Linked DNA regions of Xenopus tropicalis. The protein of the gene in region 2 interacts with the protein of the main gene of each other region in a pairwise test. Links are inferred from orthologs where the notes say so. Each region holds a gene or a part of one and is shown on either strand. Other genes may lie near its edges. The genes, in order: mpp5, lin7a and mpp6.

What was found.
Region 1: the proteins of lin7a (region 2) and mpp5 interact in binary tests that used the Homo sapiens proteins (3 or more experiments, as listed by UniProt). The two-hybrid records come from large-scale screens. The link is inferred for Xenopus tropicalis from reciprocal best matches to the Homo sapiens genes LIN7A and PALS1.
Region 3: the proteins of lin7a (region 2) and mpp6 interact in binary tests that used the Homo sapiens proteins (3 or more experiments, as listed by UniProt). The link is inferred for Xenopus tropicalis from reciprocal best matches to the Homo sapiens genes LIN7A and PALS2.

What each region holds. Positions count from the first base shown.
Region 1 is NC_030684.2:119,266,706-119,273,045, reverse strand, and holds part of mpp5 (MAGUK p55 subfamily member 5), read left to right. Parts: intron 1-1,530; 5' UTR 1,531-1,660; coding exon 1,661-2,027; intron 2,028-6,340. UniProt on the Homo sapiens protein: Plays a role in tight junction biogenesis and in the establishment of cell polarity in epithelial cells.
Region 2 is NC_030679.2:52,567,080-52,572,702, forward strand, and holds part of lin7a (protein lin-7 homolog A), read right to left. Parts: intron 4,240-5,623; coding exon 4,018-4,239; intron 200-4,017; 3' UTR 1-199. UniProt on the Homo sapiens protein: Plays a role in establishing and maintaining the asymmetric distribution of channels and receptors at the plasma membrane of polarized cells.
Region 3 is NC_030682.2:40,898,196-40,905,279, reverse strand, and holds the start of mpp6 (MAGUK p55 subfamily member 6), read right to left. Parts: upstream 4,199-7,084; 5' UTR 4,083-4,198; intron 1-4,082.

The DNA.
Region 1 (6,340 bases), on a different chromosome or scaffold from region 2:
TCAGGGACCCCCGAAACCTTAAACCACAGGCCCACTTCCAAACTATTTTTCCTTTTCTCTTCATTGACTTCCTTTATTTTTGGAATAAGTTCTCCTTACTTATTATCATAAAGCCTTCCCTCCATTTCGTTTCTTTGTTTTCACATAGAAACTGGAAATGGCCATTTTATAGGCATACAAGGCAAATGGCTGTGTGAACAGGAGGGCCCACTAAGATCTTGGCCCACCCGGTGGGCCAGTCTCACACTGACCCTTGGTTGAATAACCAATAGCTGAACGGACTATATGTCTTCAAAATATATCAAAATAATATCATACACAGTAGTCTATGCAGCCCATAAGCAGTCTGGGGTTCATAAAGAGGGCTGCGGTAGCTGCAATAACTTATAATTAAATAAATGGATCTGTTGCCCAAGGGCAATGACACACGGGATGTTTTGTTGCCCGTAATAGAACTTTGCTACCGTGGGCAACAAGAAGTCACTTGTTTCCTTCCTACTGGCTAAAATGCAAATCACAGGTGGGGAAACATACAAAGCAGCCCGAAATTTCATAAAGAGGCAACTTCTGGCCACGCCACGTATGTTTTCCCACCGGCGATTTACATTACTGCTGGTGGGAAAGCGTTTGAAGAAGATTAGTTGGCCGCAGTTATTAGAAGATTTATCACAGTTGGCTAATCTCCTAGGGGGGCAATTCACAAATGTGTCGGTAAGTATACAGTTTTTAAAGTGTCAGTCGCCAAATCGTAAAAATGTTGTAAGAATGATAGACTCGCAAAAGGTGTCTTTTATAGTTTTATGGATTTGTTGTAATGCCACAAAGTTTTTAAAAGTGTTGTATAAACAGTAAACAGTTGTAATTATTGTGCTGTGAAAACGTCCTTTGGAAAATTGAGGGAAAATTGGCCTGTGAATGAGTCCTTTTCTGATATTTTTAAGAACCCCCCCCCTCCCAATGTCTTTGTCCTAAACAAAGCCCTGCAAGGTGTTTGTTTTTTTTTATAGATAATACATGTTTTTGTGCTTCACCAAAACATCCAGTAAACATATAATTTACAGTTTGTGTATATAGTGGCTTTACACTAGGAATATTTTGTCTACTGACCTACTCCTCAACTCCTCTCCCATTCCCTCCTCAGACGCCCACATTCAAGGCTTTGCAAGGGCTGCACCCCTTCTCTGGAATTCACTTACTCTCATGTAGTTTAACATGACCTCAGTGTGCTGCTAAAAGCAATAACATGTGCCAAACCTCTCACAACTCTGGTCATGCCCATTCCCACACCTTGTGTCTCAACCCTTTCTCCTTGTAGATTGTAAGCTCTTTTGGGCAGGGCTATATATGTCACTCTGTATGTCCAAAGTATGAAGCCCACTTAATTTTACAGCGCTGCGGAATATGCTGGCGCTTTATAATAATTTGTAGCTTAATTGGCTGCATTGATGTATAATTGTGGGGTGGGCAGGTTTGGCCTGGAATTAAGTTTTTTAACTTTTGCTTAATCATTTTTCTTTCTTTTTCAAACAGGGCAGCATTAACATCAATGCCAGCTTTTATGTGCAGCTCATGAAACCACAGTGAGCTACAATGGGATACTGTACAGACTACAGGACATATACTCACCTATAAGCACCTGGACTGGGTGGTGCCGGCAGTCATGACCACTTCTCATGTGAACGGACATGTAACAGAAGACTCTGACAGTGACAAACAGAGCTCGGATCTTGCTTCTCAAGAGGAGCCACCCAAACATAGGGAAATGGCCGTCGATTGTCCTGGGGACTTGGGTACGCGGGCGATGCCCATCCGGCGGAGTGCCCAGCTGGAACGGATCCGGCAGCAGCAGGAGGATATGAGGCGTAGGCGGGAGGAAGAAGGGAAGAAACAGGATCTGGATGTTAATTCATCTATGAGGCTTAAAAAGTTGGCACAGATTTTCCCCAAAACTGGAATTGACAACCCTATATTTGATACTGATGAAAGTCTAGTGTTGGAAAGTCCTAGCAGGGCTGTGAAAGTACTGGGTATGTATTAACATTCTCTATATGTATTACTTATACATACTTATATGCAAGAAAAGACTTGCATCCTTTTCCCATTAAAGGTCAGAAGATGAAGTTTAGGTAACAGCTGGAAATTTACACACATCATTTGGGGTGCAGTAATATTTGTCCTTTATTTCCATTGTTCCTTTCTGCTGTAAAAATAAATAAATAAAGCTGCCAATCACAGAACCTATGCCCAACCAGTAAGCCCATGGGCCATGTGAGCAGCTTGAATGTTCCAACCTGATTATAGCAGCAGCAGTTCTAGCATATAACTGAGGAAGCTGCAACTGTGGGGGTTCATTTGCTAGCTTTGGGAAAATATACCCTGATACAGTAAGCCATAGCAATAAATCAGTTATTAGCTTTTATTATTATTATTACTGCAGTAGACAGATGAAAGCTAATTGCTGATTGGGTGCTTGGGGAAATGTTGGTAAATGAGCCCCAGTGTCTTTTACATCCCTGCCTTAACTCCTGCCCAAAAACTTCTTTTTTTTTTTGCTAAACGGGGTGTAAGGTCCCTTTTCACAAATATGTCAGGTGCTGTTACTAGCCTATTGCCAGGGCACTGTTCTTTGCCTAAACAAATTAGTTCAGCTCCGGAGAGCAGCAGTGATTTAGAGAGTACTTGTAGGTGCACTAAATCAAATAAATAGGGTTAATAGGAAGGCGGGATTTATGGCTAACTGCTTAAGGCACTGAAGCAATACTGTCATATCCTGCCATCTCTCTATAATACTAACAGCCGCTTACTTTATGTGGAAAAATGCCCTAGGCATTTGCCACGAGCTGATAATGTCCTCCAAGCAACCTGCTTGCGATCACTAGTGACACTTCAGGAGTTATCATGGTAAGCCCACCTGTACATCCCCCACCCTGCCGCCGCACAGCGCCATATAATCATCTCTCTAATGCTTTATTTACCTACCTACGCCCGTCCCCATAAATCTAAATTATAGCTCAGACTTTGGATCCGGCTAGCTGGGAATCTTAAAAGCCCTTCATTACAGGGGATGTCCATGATATATAAGTGCATAAAAACAGGAACAATATGCTGGTAGATATGGAATTTATTAGTTATTGAAATATAGAAACCACATAGTAGGTGAGGTTGATAAACAAAAAAAACAGACTGCCAAATTTCCAACCAGTAACTGCCAGAAAAGAAATTGCACTAATTCTTTTGTGCAACTTGGTAGCTGCCACAGGTGGACAAAAGTAGATGAAACTGTGAAAATCTGGCACTGAGAACCTCAATTATAAAGGTGCCTAGCTGACTGAGCCTGCTGGTAGGGTGTGGTACTGCAAGCAGTATTCACTATGCAATTTCAGTAAAGCCCCCCATAAAATGCAGACCCCTTATCAGTGGAGGGCTTTACAACATACCCATCTAAGTATATATTTCGATAAGACGCTGTAAGCTTTGTTGAAATTAAAGATGGACTGGTAACCGGCAGACTTGTGCTCCCTCCTCCGTTCCGTTTGTTGCTGACCTGCAGGGCTTCGTTCCAGCCGCGTGCGTAAGCAGTGGTGATAGGGCCCTGTCCCCCCCCAACACAGGGAGTATTTTCATAACGCTTCTCTCGTTGTATTCTTGCTGAGTAATCACATTCCTCCCACCAAAATAACTTGCCCAGAATTCCCCTTTCATTTGTCACATTTCAAGTCTGTTAGTTTGTGTAGGGAAAGATTATTCAGATAGCTGACCAGTTTATAATGTTCCATATTCCTGCCCTGCCGTTTATATTGCGGCTTTAAGCATTGCCTGTTTACTAGGCACAGTGATGCCTTTCATTCATTGTTTTTAGTTTACCAATCTCTTGCCAATAAAGCTGGATACAACCTTCTTACCTTCATTTAAAGGAAGGCAACACTAGCAAACTCCCTGCATGCTTACTATTTGCTACATGTAGGCCACAGCAGAAGAGGGGTAAGGGGTTTCGTGCCTGCTGGTGTGGGTCCCACCAAAGGGTTTTTCGTGGGGGAGCCAAGCAACTCTACTACGGTCCATGTCACCTTTCTTAAAATCTTATGGTACTGCTATTGAGTAAGGTGCTCCCTCCATTCTTCCGTTGTCCACATTCATTTTTTAATTCGTTTCCTGTTTTTCTCCATTTCAGTCCATTATAAGCCCCTCTTAAGTACAGCTTTGTCTCTATAATATATATTTTATTTTATATAATATATATATGTAAGTGTTACCTTGGATTTGTAATATTGTGTATATTATTTATGTATGTGTGTGTGTGTGTATATATAATTTCTGTAGGGCCCACATCTGCACATCTGCATACTGGATAAAAGATTTGAAGTACAATGGCATTGCTAGAGTGAGTGTAAACAGGGAATGAATGCCACTGATACTTCTTTAGACAGCTTTAGGATAATAAAGGATATGATATGTATAATTTGTTCACTGATGTTACTTGACCCTAAATAAAAGATGCAGTCTGTATCATATTGTTTATGGTTTTGATATTGAGGTTTTAGTCGCCCTTTAAGAGAAAAGTTGCAAAGTGCATTGTGTGGGAGGTATATGAGCTTCTAAATGTCTAACCACTAGGGGCGCTTTCCTCTGTCTGTATGGTACATTTTGGCTCTTCTGGGCAGCTTGGCTGTGCAGGTATGAGGGCTTCATATAGGAGCATATAGGCCCATACGCTTCAGTATCTGGCTGAAGGCTAAGGAGTCAGGCCATGGTTCCTGACTGCTGGACCCTCTATGTTTACATACTTACCCTAAATGTTGGAGACATGACTTCCAGCACATGCTTATTGCCAGATTGTGGGAAATTGAAAAGAAAATCCCTTTTGACACGGTGGTGCCTGGATAGTAGTAAGTCCTCTGTGCCTGGCATTGGGTAAATGGTTACGCGGCAGTATTGTGTCCTGCCCGCATTGTTGCTGGCAAACTTAGAGCACAAAAGACTCCGAAAGAAAACTTTCCATTTAGTCATTGTCTTTGCTGGACTCTCATTTGCGTAGATCCGTGTTTGCCTGGGTGGAATCTGAGTTGGCAACAATGTCGCGCTGAATCTAATTATGCCCCAAATAACAGGGTGCCCATTTATCCTGGACAGCTGTCTTTTGATATGGGAATGTCAAAGACTCTTTGTGTGTGCTTTATTGCTGCTCTTTTTGCTGTCCTGGCCCCCGCGGCATGCCACTGCTTTCGCTTGTCCCAGCTGACCTAGCCTCTCCTTCTCATTCCATCAGGGTTGTGAGTGATAAGCGCGTAGTGCCTGGGAGGCTCTGCACAACTGCCTCCAGATTCTCTCCTTATGGGACACAATTGCTGCCGCCACCGCCTGCTTGTGACTACAAAGTGAGTGGGTGCGTGGGTCTCTCGCGTGAATGGGATTGACTCTGTATGTCTGATTTGCATGGAAAGTACAGTATGGAGCTAAAGCCCTTGAAAGCACCAGCACTTGCATGATCATATGGTGTTTTCTGCCAAACTGTATATTCTGTGGCTAGAGGTGGTCTAAACTGTAATGTATATTGCACTGATATGGTACAGTAAGAAAGCAACTGATGTCTTCAGAGAGGCAAGAGAGGTCCCACCTAGGATGGCTGTACTGTTATGCTGTACACAATGTTATTAAGGGCTCTTTCCTACTACTAAGTGTTGTATTAGGTGGTTTAATGTTCTTCTTGTGTCGCGGGTTTCTACCACACTCCAAAGCTACACAGGCAGGTTAACTGGACTCTAGAGTGTGAGTGTGGTAGGGATGTAGATTGTAAGTTTTTCTGAGCAAAGGAGTGATGTTGAATGCGAGAGATCCTCAACATCTGGTGCAAGAGGGTCAGTATTACCCCCTTATTGGAAGCTTGAGGGATATAAATGGAACAGAATAAATACAAGTAGATTTAGCCGACTATTCCGCCCCTTCAGATCAAGTCTTTCATTAATTATGGGGCAGGTTTGAAAATACTGTTGGGGAGGACCACATCAGCACATTAAGGCAATCCCCTGCCTATGGGCCTGCACAGACTCTCATGATTCGCTTGTTTGCCCGGCGGCCAAATGATTGGATCAGCTTAATTTAGCCCAGTATATAGGTGGCCATATCAAGCAAAGATAAACTTGCTTGGTGACCTCACAAGTTCAGCAGTTCTTTGCGTGTGTGGTCAGCCTAAATCAGCAGTTAATCGTAGCCTTTGTGGATGGGAAGCAGGATTGCCTCACTAATGGCTCAGTCCCAGCAAATAAACACAGCAGGTAGTCATAATGTTGCTATTCAGGGTAAGAAGCTGCCTACAGATAAAATACAGCATTTGACTGTTGTG
Region 2 (5,623 bases):
CATCAAATAGTTGAAGTCCAAAACAAAAGGTCTTGCTATCTACTAAATGGCCACCAATGTAGGGAAAACTTTGTAACATCTCTGCCGAACGATTCCTCTTTGTTGTGTTTCCTGCACCATGTACCATTTGGACTGGTGAAGCACAGCTGAATTGCTCTTTTGTTGGTTTTCAAGTCAGTGCTTTTTTCTCGAGAAAAAACTGAAAAGATAAAGAAAAAGCCAAACATCTGAGAGCAAATGAATGCATTGGTACTGTAATTTTTAATTACTGTATATACTCGAGTATAAGCCTAGTTTTTCAGCACCCAAAATGTGCTGAAAAAGTCACCCTCGGCTTATACTCGAGTCGGGTGCCATGGGTCCCTCCAGACTAGCACCTTCTGTCCTTTGTGTGCAAATTAGGCCACCCGCAACCAGACCCTACCCTAGCTGCCAGTTTGCCAATGCGCAATGAGCGTGGGGTAGTACTCATTGTTTTTGTTGACCATCTTCTCCACTTACAGAGCTAGTTTACTGTTTTTCTTTGAAATAAATATTTAAAAACAAATACCCCACTTATGTCTCAATTAATGTAATTTTATTGGTATTTATTTTGATTATTGAAACTTAGCAATAGCTGCTGCATTTCCCACCATAGGCTTATACTCGAGTCAATAAGTTTTTCCAGTTTTCTTTGGTAAAATTAGCTACCTCGGCTTATACTCGAGTATATACGGTAAGAGATATATTTCAAATTTGTATTCCCCTACTTAGTGTGTATACTTTCTCCTGAGAGAATTACCCCAAAACATTTTGGAAATACTATGCCAACCTTGCTTCATTCTTGTTTTGGTGGTCTTTATATATTTAGGGCTACATTAATATGTAGGACACAGTGCTGCTATATACAGTATATACAGTCCATAGCTGCTAGCAGTTCTGTTTTACACTGTGTAATTCCAAATATGCACACTAAAACTGGCAGGAAAAATATAATTCTAGCTAAGCAGTCACAACAAATTTCTTTTAACTTTCTTAATTCTTAATTTCAGATGTCTGACAGACGACTGCATATAGCCTGTTCTGAACATAGTTTGTCGTAGAAGCCCTGATTTCTCAATGAAAGAAAGAAACTGCCTTCTCCTCCCTCTCTGAAAATTCAGTTCAGAACTGCAGTTTTCTGTGTTCTTTGTACCAATGTAACAGTCTTAACTACTATAACTTTTAAGCATATGTGTTGCAATGTTCTCTGTTTTTACATGCTGATTTATATCATAATGTCTTAATCTGCTTTTTAAAACTTTCTTCTGTTGTAATATGTGAATATCCAAGCACCTAATGGAAAATTCCCATTTCTCTTGGTTTGGTATGACAAGGCTGCTGAAGTTCTAAGCAACAGTACAATGCATGCTATTCACTGTAGCAGTCCCTTAGCATGGTTTTCCTATGTTTCCTGCTCTTTAACTTTAAGCTTCCATCCTCTTTCTTCCATCCTTCCAAGAATCTTCTTCAAGAATGGGCATGTTATGCAAACACTTGAGTTTCTGACACTGTTAATCACCTACTTCTTATAACTTACCTGTAGCTAAGATTTATACTACCTTCATCTTCTCACTTATTCAGTCATAAGTTTAAGAATAATGTTGCAGTGTAGCCCACTCATGGATTTGTGGAACAAGTCATTTTTTTAAATGGATCTTATTAACTGTCTCATGTCTGGAATTTGTTACCACTGCATATTTTACTTTACCACCTTCCAGCTCTTCCTGAAATGGCATCTAATGTTTTATGTTGGAAAATTCACCTCTGGTACATAATTTTCTGTCATTAAAGGAGAACTATACCCCCGGGTGACCCCTGCCTTGACCCCTCTCACCTCTCCCTTATCGCATAGTTTTTAAGTTTAACATTGTCCCTATCACTAACCCCTAGCTAAAACAGCAGAGTATAGCAGCAGCGTATCTGGCCGACATCTTCTTGGCAACTCAAGACACTTTGGGTCTCTCTGCCAATACGAACCTTGCTTGCGCATTCGCAGTTGGAAATAGCAGGAAATCAGCTCAAACTGCACATGCGCAAGTAGGGTCTGTGACCGCAGTGAGACCCAAAGTCTCTTCAGTTGCTAAGAAGATGTCAGCCAGGTGTTCTGCTGCACTACTCTGCTGTTTTAGCTAGGGGTTAGTGATAGGGACAGTTGTTAAACTTAGAAACTATGCGATAAGGGAGAGATGAGGGGAGTCAAGGCAGTGATAGTTAAGGAGGCTTTTATAGCCCAGGGGTATAGTACTCCTTTAAGAGGCAGGGCACTCTGATGGGATCAGTGCTTGGGATAATGTAAAGTTCTGCTGAGTACTACAAGGTGCAAGAAGGGTAGACTTTGACAGAATAGCTGCCCAGTTTACAATTGATCACCAGTGGCTTATGATAGGGCAGGCAGGAAAAGGTTTAACATATTGGGGGTAGAGTTTAGCAGTGGAAGAGTGGAGCTGTAAGAAGGATTTTGGGTAGTTACATCAGGAAAAGCATAGGAGGTTATGTCAGGAAGAGAAAAGGAGCAGTCCCACCCCACCTTCCCTTCAATAATTGTGTAAGTTGTCTCAAGCGTGGCCTGGGAGAGGAAAAGGGTTTTGTGTCACTGGCAAATAGTTAGGGGGGTTTGTCACAGCAAGCATGGTGGTGGGTGCCTGGCATTGGATTTGATAGTTTAAATGTACTAAACAAATGGTTTTGTGTCAGTAAGGAATAAAACTTCTCAAAGGGTAGGTGGTCCCTTGGATTAATGTTTGGAATTGCTTTAGCAGGCAACCCAGAAAACCAGCATATCCACCGAGCTGGTGACCTTGGTACAGTTGAAAGGGGATCTATCATGAAAATTCAAACATAATATAAGCTTCATCACACTAAAATAAGACACTTTCTAAATATAATTGATTGAAAATTCAGTTTACAATATAATAAAGTTGCTTTTTATACTGCCCATCTCAGGAATATTTCTCTCTCTATTTTCTCTTCATGAAGTAGGTGGAGTCAGGTTATGATAGGTGAGCGAATCTGTTCTGTTTCGCTTTGCCATAAAATTTGCGAAACGGCAAGAACATTAGGGAAACGGCGAAAAATTTGCGAAATTTATTTGTTGCACAGGTTTTTTTTTGTCGTCTCAAAAATAGAAAAAAGGCAGGCACTCCGGTCAAATCATTAGTGGATAGCAATTGTTCATGAGAAGTGGAGGTAAAATCAAAAAAACTTTTTATTTAACACATGATACAAAGAGCCTTACGCGTTTCGTACCTCCTGGTACTTAATCAATTTTTGTCGCCCTTGTCTTTTTTTTTTTTTACGCCCGTCAAATTTTTCTGCGGCGAATTTTCACGGCAGTTTAGCGAAACAATTCGCCAATGCCAAAATGTGGAAATTCGCTGCAAATCAAAATAGCCCTTTTTTGGAGTAAAAGTAGTGGGAAAACTGGTGGAAAACATTTTCTCCATATTCATCCGCCTAAATTCCACTTTTCTGTTTTTGGTGAAAGACAGTTTACAGACATTTTGTGAATTTGTCTTTAAATGACATTTACACCACATTTTAACAACATTTCCCCCCCGCCATTTTCAAAATGGAGTGAAGCTCAGTGTAACTCTGTCAGATCAATTCTAAGCTCTTCTGTTTTGCTTTGTTTCACCCAGTCTCCATTTCACACCTCTGGTAGGAGCCCATCATTAACATTGTTGATAAAATGACAAAATCGGAGAACAGTTTGTTTAAAAGACAAATTCACAAAAGTGGAGAAAAAGGTTTGTGAATACGGTGGAAAATCCGACAAATCTATCTCCACTTTTATTTTGTCTCAGTATCACAACCTTTGTGAATTTCCCCCTAAGGGTTACGGATCTGAATATTCATCTTTGGATGTTGATAAATAACCACCCTTGTAAAAAAAAAAAACAATTCACGTATCAATGACAAGTTGTGAGTCAGATCATAGCAATGAGACTCTCTAATTTCCACATTCTCATAAGAAGTGAAAGCAATGAAAACTCTCACCTACGACATATGATTTTGCTGCGTGTGCTGTTGTTGCTGCTGTTGCTGCTGCTGCTGAATTAATAGCTGCTGTTGTTGCCTCCGCCTAGCAGTCCTCAGCTTTTCAAAGCGAGCTTCCATTTCATCCAACACCTTTGGTGTGTATCGCACTACTAGCTTTACACTGTCTTTAGCAGCTTTAAGCAATTCCACTGCTTTCTCATGATGTTCCCCTTCCACACTCTGTATATTTAAGAAAAATTAGATAAATTCAAGCAAGCTAAAAAAAGAGATATTTAACGTAATCTGATCAACGTATTTGAAATATACAGTAGGTATATGTTTAATAAGCATTCACATTAAACTTATTCCTAAACTAATATACTATCAACTTATATCCTAAACGACATTGCAGTGGTGTGAAACCAATTTAAACTCTCATTGTGGGGCAGACAGCAGATGCTGTGTATTAAACATTTCTTGGCAGTATAGCCAAATAACTGCAGCCAATCTTCTGCTAGAGGAATGAAGGTCAGTAGAGACATTAGATGATACGTGCCTCTGGCTGCTTTGCAGCAATGAAACTCACTTGCAGTTGGTGAATTCTGAATAACTGCGACATGTCCCTATAGTCAGTGGTTTACCTTAACTTGATGGGCACTAATTATTTCCCCCTTGAAAACACTTCTTATTATGAATAAATAAAAGAAAACAAAATATATATATATATATGTGTATATATATATATATATATATATATATATATATATATATATATATATATATATATATATATATATATATATATATATATATATATATATATATAAATGTATTAAAGAGGACCTGTCACCCAGACATAAAAAGCTGTATAATAAAAGTCCTTTTCAGATTAAACATGAAACCCAAATTCATTTTTATATTAACACATACAGACCCATCATAGAGGCGGGGCAGACAATAACTTTAGCTTTCCATTCAGCACTACCTAGATGTCACTGCACATCTCACTTTTCCCCTCCCTCCTCATCATCTCATTGTGTAGCCAGTGCACGGGCCTGGGCATCTGGCCCCCCATTCTGGCACATAAACAAGATTTTGGCATGATACAAAGCTTGCCTTAATAACAGTGTCCACAAAATGGTGCCTGCCTGCTTGCTTTGATTGAGTAATTCCAAGATGGAAGGAAACAAGATTTATATTATTTATATAGAGTAAGTAAAGTTTATTTTGCTCAACTAACAATATAGAAAATAATTTGGAGTTTTTTCTTAGGGCGACAGGTCACCTTTAAGATAATCAGTTATATATTTTTTAAAAAGTATCAGTATATTTTATTAGACACTGTGCCCCAGTTGTAATCTGAAAACAGTACAGTAGGCCTGCACTGTGCCTTTTACTTCAGAATGCACCTAAGAAAGCATTGTTAAAGGACACTGAAATGTTACGTGTATCCTTATTGATAATGAGTTGTTTAAGCATTTATACAGTACATGAGACTTGACCACGTGACATTACCCCCATGCCATATTTATCTCACTTGGGCTCTTGCCATGGAGTGGTGTCAGCATTATCACTGGTTCCAATGTTGCATTCAATTTTCCCAACCTACATGCTCCATCCAGTA
Region 3 (7,084 bases), on a different chromosome or scaffold from region 2:
CTATTGGGTGGGACTTGGCACTCTGGCTCCTTTACTGTATACACAGGAGAAAAGAACTGGTTTAGCACATCTGCCTTTTCTATAGCTGCTGTAACCATATTGTTACTATAACTCAATGGGGCCACACCCTCAACCTGTATCTTTTTATTATTAATATACTTAAACTTTTTGGGGTTAGTCTTGGCCTCTGCCACAATGTGCTCCTCATGTTCTATCTTTGCCTTCCAGATTGCTGTTTTACAATACTTGTTGTAGTCTGACCAGCACCCAACACAAATCCACAATAGTTGCCCATATTTCAAACCCCCCACCACCTAAGGGTAATCCCATAGGTTGCAGCTCAGCACACACATCACTAATGGTTTCCCCTCAAACTTCATATAAATTACCAGCCAGTCAATAAAACTGCTACTATTTTTCATAGCGCAAATTAGTAGCAACTAATCGCTCTGTGCGTCTTCGCCCTTAAAGACAATTTAGGAACTGGTGAAATTAAGGAAAAATAATCTTGCAAGAGGCTGCATGCTACTATCATGACACCCTGCTTGAAACACAGTCCATAGCAGATATTAAGGTGCCAGTTAACTGAACAAATGTCACTTCATGCACATTTGTCAAGATAAAAAAAGCAAGACACATTGTTTTCTAATTTCATGCTCAGATGAATGATCTGATATACTTTTTTTTTTAATTTAGCTGAACAATTATTCATTAGTTTTCTATTTCTGTTGGGTATCATTCTTGGAAAGCCCCTCTAACACTAACCTTTTTAGCGTTACTTGATAAAGACGGTCCAATATCAGACATAACTGTTTAGATCTCACTCATGCCCATAATGGTAAGTCAGGTTTGGGATGATTAGAATTTCCAAAGGCTTTGATACCATTTCACATAAGGTAGCAAAGGGAAAACTTCACCTAACTAGAAAACTAGATGGGAACAAAGACAATTCCTGTAAACAGAACATATTATATTTAAGCTACAGCTAAAAAGATTATGGATCAGCAATTTTTATTGTCCTTTTATAGTATTAAATGGGAAGTAAAAGTTTTATTAAATGGGAAGTAAAAGCTTCCCCCTAAAACTCCAAAGAACATACTATGCATTATTATTATTTTAAATACCATTATTAACAGTAACTTTTAAGAGAATATATTAAGTGACCACATTTTATGATATAGTATATATATGCAAAGTTTTAGATCACATATAAAGAAAAGATGATACAAGGGGGCTGATTTTGCATATGTAAAATGAATTGTTTGTTAGACCCCTCTGTGCCCGTTCCTGAGTAGGTATGCTGTGCTGCAATGCTGTGAGAAATTAGTGACACCATATACAATTTCATGTTAGCACAGATGTACAAGAACAGATATTTACAAGGTCAATACAAAAGCATGGTGACAAGAGGACATCCATAGAGACTAGATGAAAGGTATTTCCGGAAACACTGGAAGGGTTCCTTTAGGGAATGGTAATTCAAGTTATGAAGTTCTGTTCCAGTACAAGCAGTAATGAGTGATAAAAACTAGGAAAAGACCAATGATCTATGCATGGCTAAATAGCCACTACAGGTATAGCATCCCTTGTCCAGAAACCCATTATCCAGGAAGCACAGAACTATGGGAAGGCCATTTCCCATTAAGTCCAATTTAAGCAAATAAGTCTTATTTTTAAAAATGATTTCCTTTTTCTCTGTAATAATAAAACAGCAGCTTATACTTGTTGGTAACTAAACTGCATGAATTCATATTGGGGGCAAAACAATGCCATTGGGTTTATTTATTGTTTCGATTATTTTTAGCAGACTTAAAGTACAGTAATCCACGTTGAGGAAATATCTTTTATCTGGAAAACCTCAGGTCCCAAGCATTCCAAAAAGCAGATTATATACCCAAACTAATGGGTTCTGTAAAGACTTGATGGACTTTACATGAGTGTGAGGCTTGCAGATTCTGAATACTTTAAATTTTTTACTTTTCCCTGCCAGAGTCTAATTCAGGGCCCTTTTTATATCCAACATAATTAAGGAAAGGATTGCTTTACATGTGTCAGGTTTCACTCTGAGCCAAAAATTATTAACTTTAAAAATTGTAATTTATTGAAGTTCCTCAAATATCTGGTATAGTCCCTGTTTCAAATGGGGAGTGGGCGTGTCCTAATGGTCCCTGCCGGAAGCACAGTAGGAGCCAATCACAGTCCAGCAGTCACACAAGCAAAGGCAGGCATTAGTTCTCTAGCTCCTTCACCTGACTGCTGATTGGTTCCTATCCTACAGTTCAGTGAGAGTGCTGAGTTGTGCAGGCCCCCCTGCACTGCCTGGGGAAGGAGGCAGCAGGAAGTGGAACAGATAGGCAGGACTAGTAGGGGTTGGGGGAAATTTCTCAATTAATCTTAATAAAACAGCCCAAAACAAATCTTTTTAAAGCAAATTCCTTTCACATTTAGAGGAGTATAATGCACTGCACATTTTTTTTTTTTTAATATAATACGGTTAGAATATGTATCTTTACTCAAGCATCTTTACTGCAAAATGTAAAACTGCCCTGTTGTAGCATTTGTATAACAACATTTTTAAAAAAGTAGACAAACATAAAAATTGAAGGAAAAAACACAAGTAAAACTACTATAATGCACTTTTGTCCTACAGACCAAGCAAAGCTCACTGCATTGTTCCAGGTTATAGACACCTTCTGTAAGTTATACACTCACAGCTTTTTTGTACCGGTGAAGGGTAATGAAGTGATTTATTAAATAAACTACTGGCAACTTCAGTAGCTTACAGAGCACTTACTGCAAAGCTTTCTTCCAGATTCTGAGCATGGAATGTGCATTTCTGTATGAATATTTTTATTTCAAATGTAAAAAGCTAGAAGTGCAGTTTCAGTAGCCAAGAAGCTGTAGTCCCTGTGAGTTGGCTAGCTCTGAAATCCTTTACCACAGATAGTTTAAATACCCACCCTAAATATATTTTTAGCTTTTGTGAATACTACTCTTCATTAAAGTAGAGACAAGGCCACATTATTTTCATTAACTGCCCTAAGACCTATGCCAATGTTCCAGTGGATATATCTGCTGCCAATGATTCTTTAGAGCCCATGATATCCACTGAAAGGTTGCAAAAAAAGTACATTTATGAGCTGTACAAAAAGTGAGAATAAACCATTTAGGTAAGTGGGGGCAGGAGTAAATGTTCATTATAACTGCATATGATAGTATAGATAAATGAATTAGATCATTTTCTATTTTACTATAGTTTCAATAATGCCATTTACTGCATACCTTCCCTAAGTATTAGGGGTATTTCTAATGGAAACCGTTGCTACAGGCACATTATACACCTAAAGCAGAGCCTGTGGCTTTTGCAAGCAGCGGATTCAGCCTGACAGTACCCACAGTCACAAGGGACAAGGCTCCACACAGGCATTCGGTGCTTCTGTACATAAATGTGATTTATCTGTACAAGATACAGGAGGCATTTGTGCTTATAGGGCTGGGGGAAATGTGTGCACTTGTTAGATAAGGGACAAGCCATAGAGCCACAGGATCAGTAAGACACACACGATCCAGGCACACAGACGCGTACTGCGAAATCATAGCTACAGCAAGGAGCACAAGTTGCCACACAGACATATGCAGTAAGCCCTCTGCTGTGTCCGCCTCCCCCCGATGTTGCAGTTCATAGGCAGACGGAGGGCCGCGTTGCCTGATACAGTAATAGTATTTAACTGTCGCACAGACACCGTCGCTCTTAAAAAGCCGCATAACGCAGGGCGCCCTCCCTGAAAGCAGAACTTGCGGCTCAACTGCCCTCTGGGCCCTTCCATATGACAAGTATGTGCCATTTGTTAGGCTGATAGGTAATAAGCCAGCATGGACACTCCGCGCACTCCCAGTAATGCTAGCTCTCCCTTGTGACATGAGGGGACACAGGAGCACTGCCTGTGACACGGAGCCCACCGAGCAAACATACTTAGTCCAGCCGCTAAGCCTCTATATGCTGCACATGTCTGCAGCTCCTCCTCCTCCCACTGCCGTACTGGGCACAAATCATAGCGCTCCCGGCCACTGACAGCACTCACCTCTGTCTCTCCACAGCGCGCCGTGCCTGGCCCCCAGTCCTTCTCCAGCCGCTCCCCGCTATGTAGATGGTACCTCCCAAGCTGGCTCCGCTCCACACAGTGGATGCTCCAGCCTGCAATGTACAGTCACGCTGAGAGAGCTTAGCAAGAGAGGGGAACAAGCGACACATGTAAACTCTAACTGGGTGCCAGACTGGAGCGGCTTTCAGGAGGTCGTGATGTCACAGTCACGTGACCAGAATGTGGGCGGGGACAGTTTGAAGTCACTTAGGGGCGTGGCCAGCGCCTGTACCTGCTAGAGAAAAGCCCGCCTCCTCACAGTGCCACATGAGAAACGGGGAGAGGAGTTGAGGTGAAGGTTGTAGTAATAGGGGGCATGGACGGTGCAGATGTGTACAGATAGAGGGGCTGCGAGTGGAGCTGCGCTTACGGACTGGGGTGGGTGTGAGGGTCGTACCGAGCGGCTACAGGAGCTACAGAAAGGGCTTCAGGGAGCGGCCGGTGTGATGCGTCCAGTTGTGCGGCCGGAGGCGGGGCACCCTTTCATTTGTTCGGGATTTGGGGGGGGAGGCATGGGAGTGTGTATGTGTAGGAATGCTTGGGGTGGGCAGGCTCTTTCTTAGCGGGGCAGATGGATAGGAGCAGCGATAGTGCTGCACATGTACATGTAGACAGAGGGCAACTGGAGTAGAACAGTATATAGTGTTGCACATATGTAATATAACTAATAGTATCCCAGGATCGCCTCTAAAATTACAGTCCTGTGTTTGGACTCACTGGCCAGTTCCAACCTGTATGGAAACAACATCGGTGCAGGAAACATTCGCAGGAGACAGTGGTTTATTTAATTAGGGTTGAGCAGCTGCACTCAAACCCAACATAACCCTGTGCCATGTAAGCGCCTATGGACCCTGGAGCTGCGGAAATTTCACTGTGCCATCTGGCAGTCTGATCAATACGTGTGGCTTGGCGGCTGCCAGGGGGACACTGCCTTCCTGAATGCATAATGCCATTGGCAGATGTAAATGTGGATGGGGGCAATGATAATGGTTTGAGGTTAGGGCTCCTCATTTCTGTAAAGGAAAACTTGAATGGGATCACAAAAATAAAAATGGAAATGTGCTTCATCACAATGGGCATAAAACATTCTCAACTGAATCACCTAAATTCTGGGCTATTTCTGAAATCAAGTTCCATGCAGGATGCTGCTAGTTTGCAAAGCAATTTGACAAAATTGAAAGCAAAATGGAAAAGGAGGTTCACTGTTGACAAGTGAAAAGTTTTACACTTTGATAGGAACAATATAAATGCAAGTTATACACTAAATGGTAGTATGTTGGGGGGACCCTCAATTGAGAAGGATCTGGGGATTTTTGTGTCATTCTGTGGCTACTAAAGTAAATAAAGTGCTGTCTTGTAAAAATAAAAAAAGGGCATTGACTCAAGGGATGAAAACATAATTTTGCCCCTTTATAGGTCCCTGGTAAGGTCTCACCTTGAGTATGCAGTGCAGTAATGAGATGGAGAGTGCAGAGGAAAAGAGGATGGAAGATTTAAACCGGGGGTGGCCAGACTTTCTTTGGTCGCGATGGACCGGACTGATGCCAAATGCACAAGTGCGTGAGTACGTACGTATCGCAGCGTATGTACGCATTCACGGAGCACTTCCACATCCCCGGCTTGATCGCGGTCCACCAGAAATCCACGGGGGATCGACTGGTGGACCGCGATTGACGTATTGGCCATCCCTGATTTAAACTATTAGGTTTGACCAGTGATCCCCAACCAGTGGTTCGTAAGCAACATGTTGCTCCCCAAACCCTTGGATGTTGCTCCCAGTGGCCTCAAAGTAGGTGCTTATTTTTGAATTTCTGGCTTGGAGGCAAGTTTTGGTTGCATAAAAACCCAAACAGAGCCTTCTGTAGACTGCCAGTCCACATAGGGGCTACCAAAAAGCAAATTATAGCCCTTATTTGCACCCCTAGGAATCTTTTTCATGCTTGTGTTGCACCCCAACACTTTTTCCATTTGAATGTGGCTCACAGGTATAAAAGGTTGGGGATCCCTGGGTTAGACAGTCAGGGTTGGGGTTGTTTTCTATGGGAAAAACAGTATGTTACATTACAGGGGATTATAGGCAGATAGGGGATGTTCGCTTTTCCCAAAAAAACATTTTAACTCTACACTAGCTTTGCTGAAATCCATAAAGGGAAACAAGTTGACTGCTTTGTACTGGGCTGCAAGTCTGCTAGTGAAGTGTGTGTGGAACTGCTGGGAGGAAAGTTGTGTGACCCATATGGTACTGCTGGGGGTAGTTTGTAATATAATTCATATTTTATCTGCTGATCTGAGATGTGTATTCTGTACAGTGCTGCTACAGTAGTGTGCAGTTTAACCTGTGCAAAACTGCTAGAGTAGTGCAATGTTACCCCTACCAGGATATGGAGTGTAATCCACAGCGGAAAGCATTGTGCTCATTACATACACTGTATTATTATGGAAGGAAGTTCTTTCCAACATCTGGTTGGTGGCGCCTTGCAATGTGAACTGTACTAGGCTGTAATCCGGTACCAGGCAGCTATTGATGCTGAGCTCAATTTTCTGGTAAGAACATACAACTGCACTGCAACACAAGTGTTAGGTATTTGGTGCATTTTCCAATGCAGCATGTATCCAGGAGAGGATGAGTCCAGCCTAATAGTGCCACTGCAGCCCAAAGGAAAGTGTTACCTTAATGGGTATCTCGCCAAAGGCAGGCTACAGACCTGACATTCATATGTGAATGGAGACTGCCTGTAAGCACAATAAGCACAAATCTCACTGACACTGGTTTGCATTGTCCTTTAAACTTCAGTTTTATGTATGTATGTATGTATAACTTTATTTATAAAGCGCCACAAGGGTACGCAGCGCTGTACAGTCTTACAGAATACAAAATTACACACAGGGAGGACAAGTGATATAATAAATAAATACATATATGTGTGCCATGTGGTATGAGA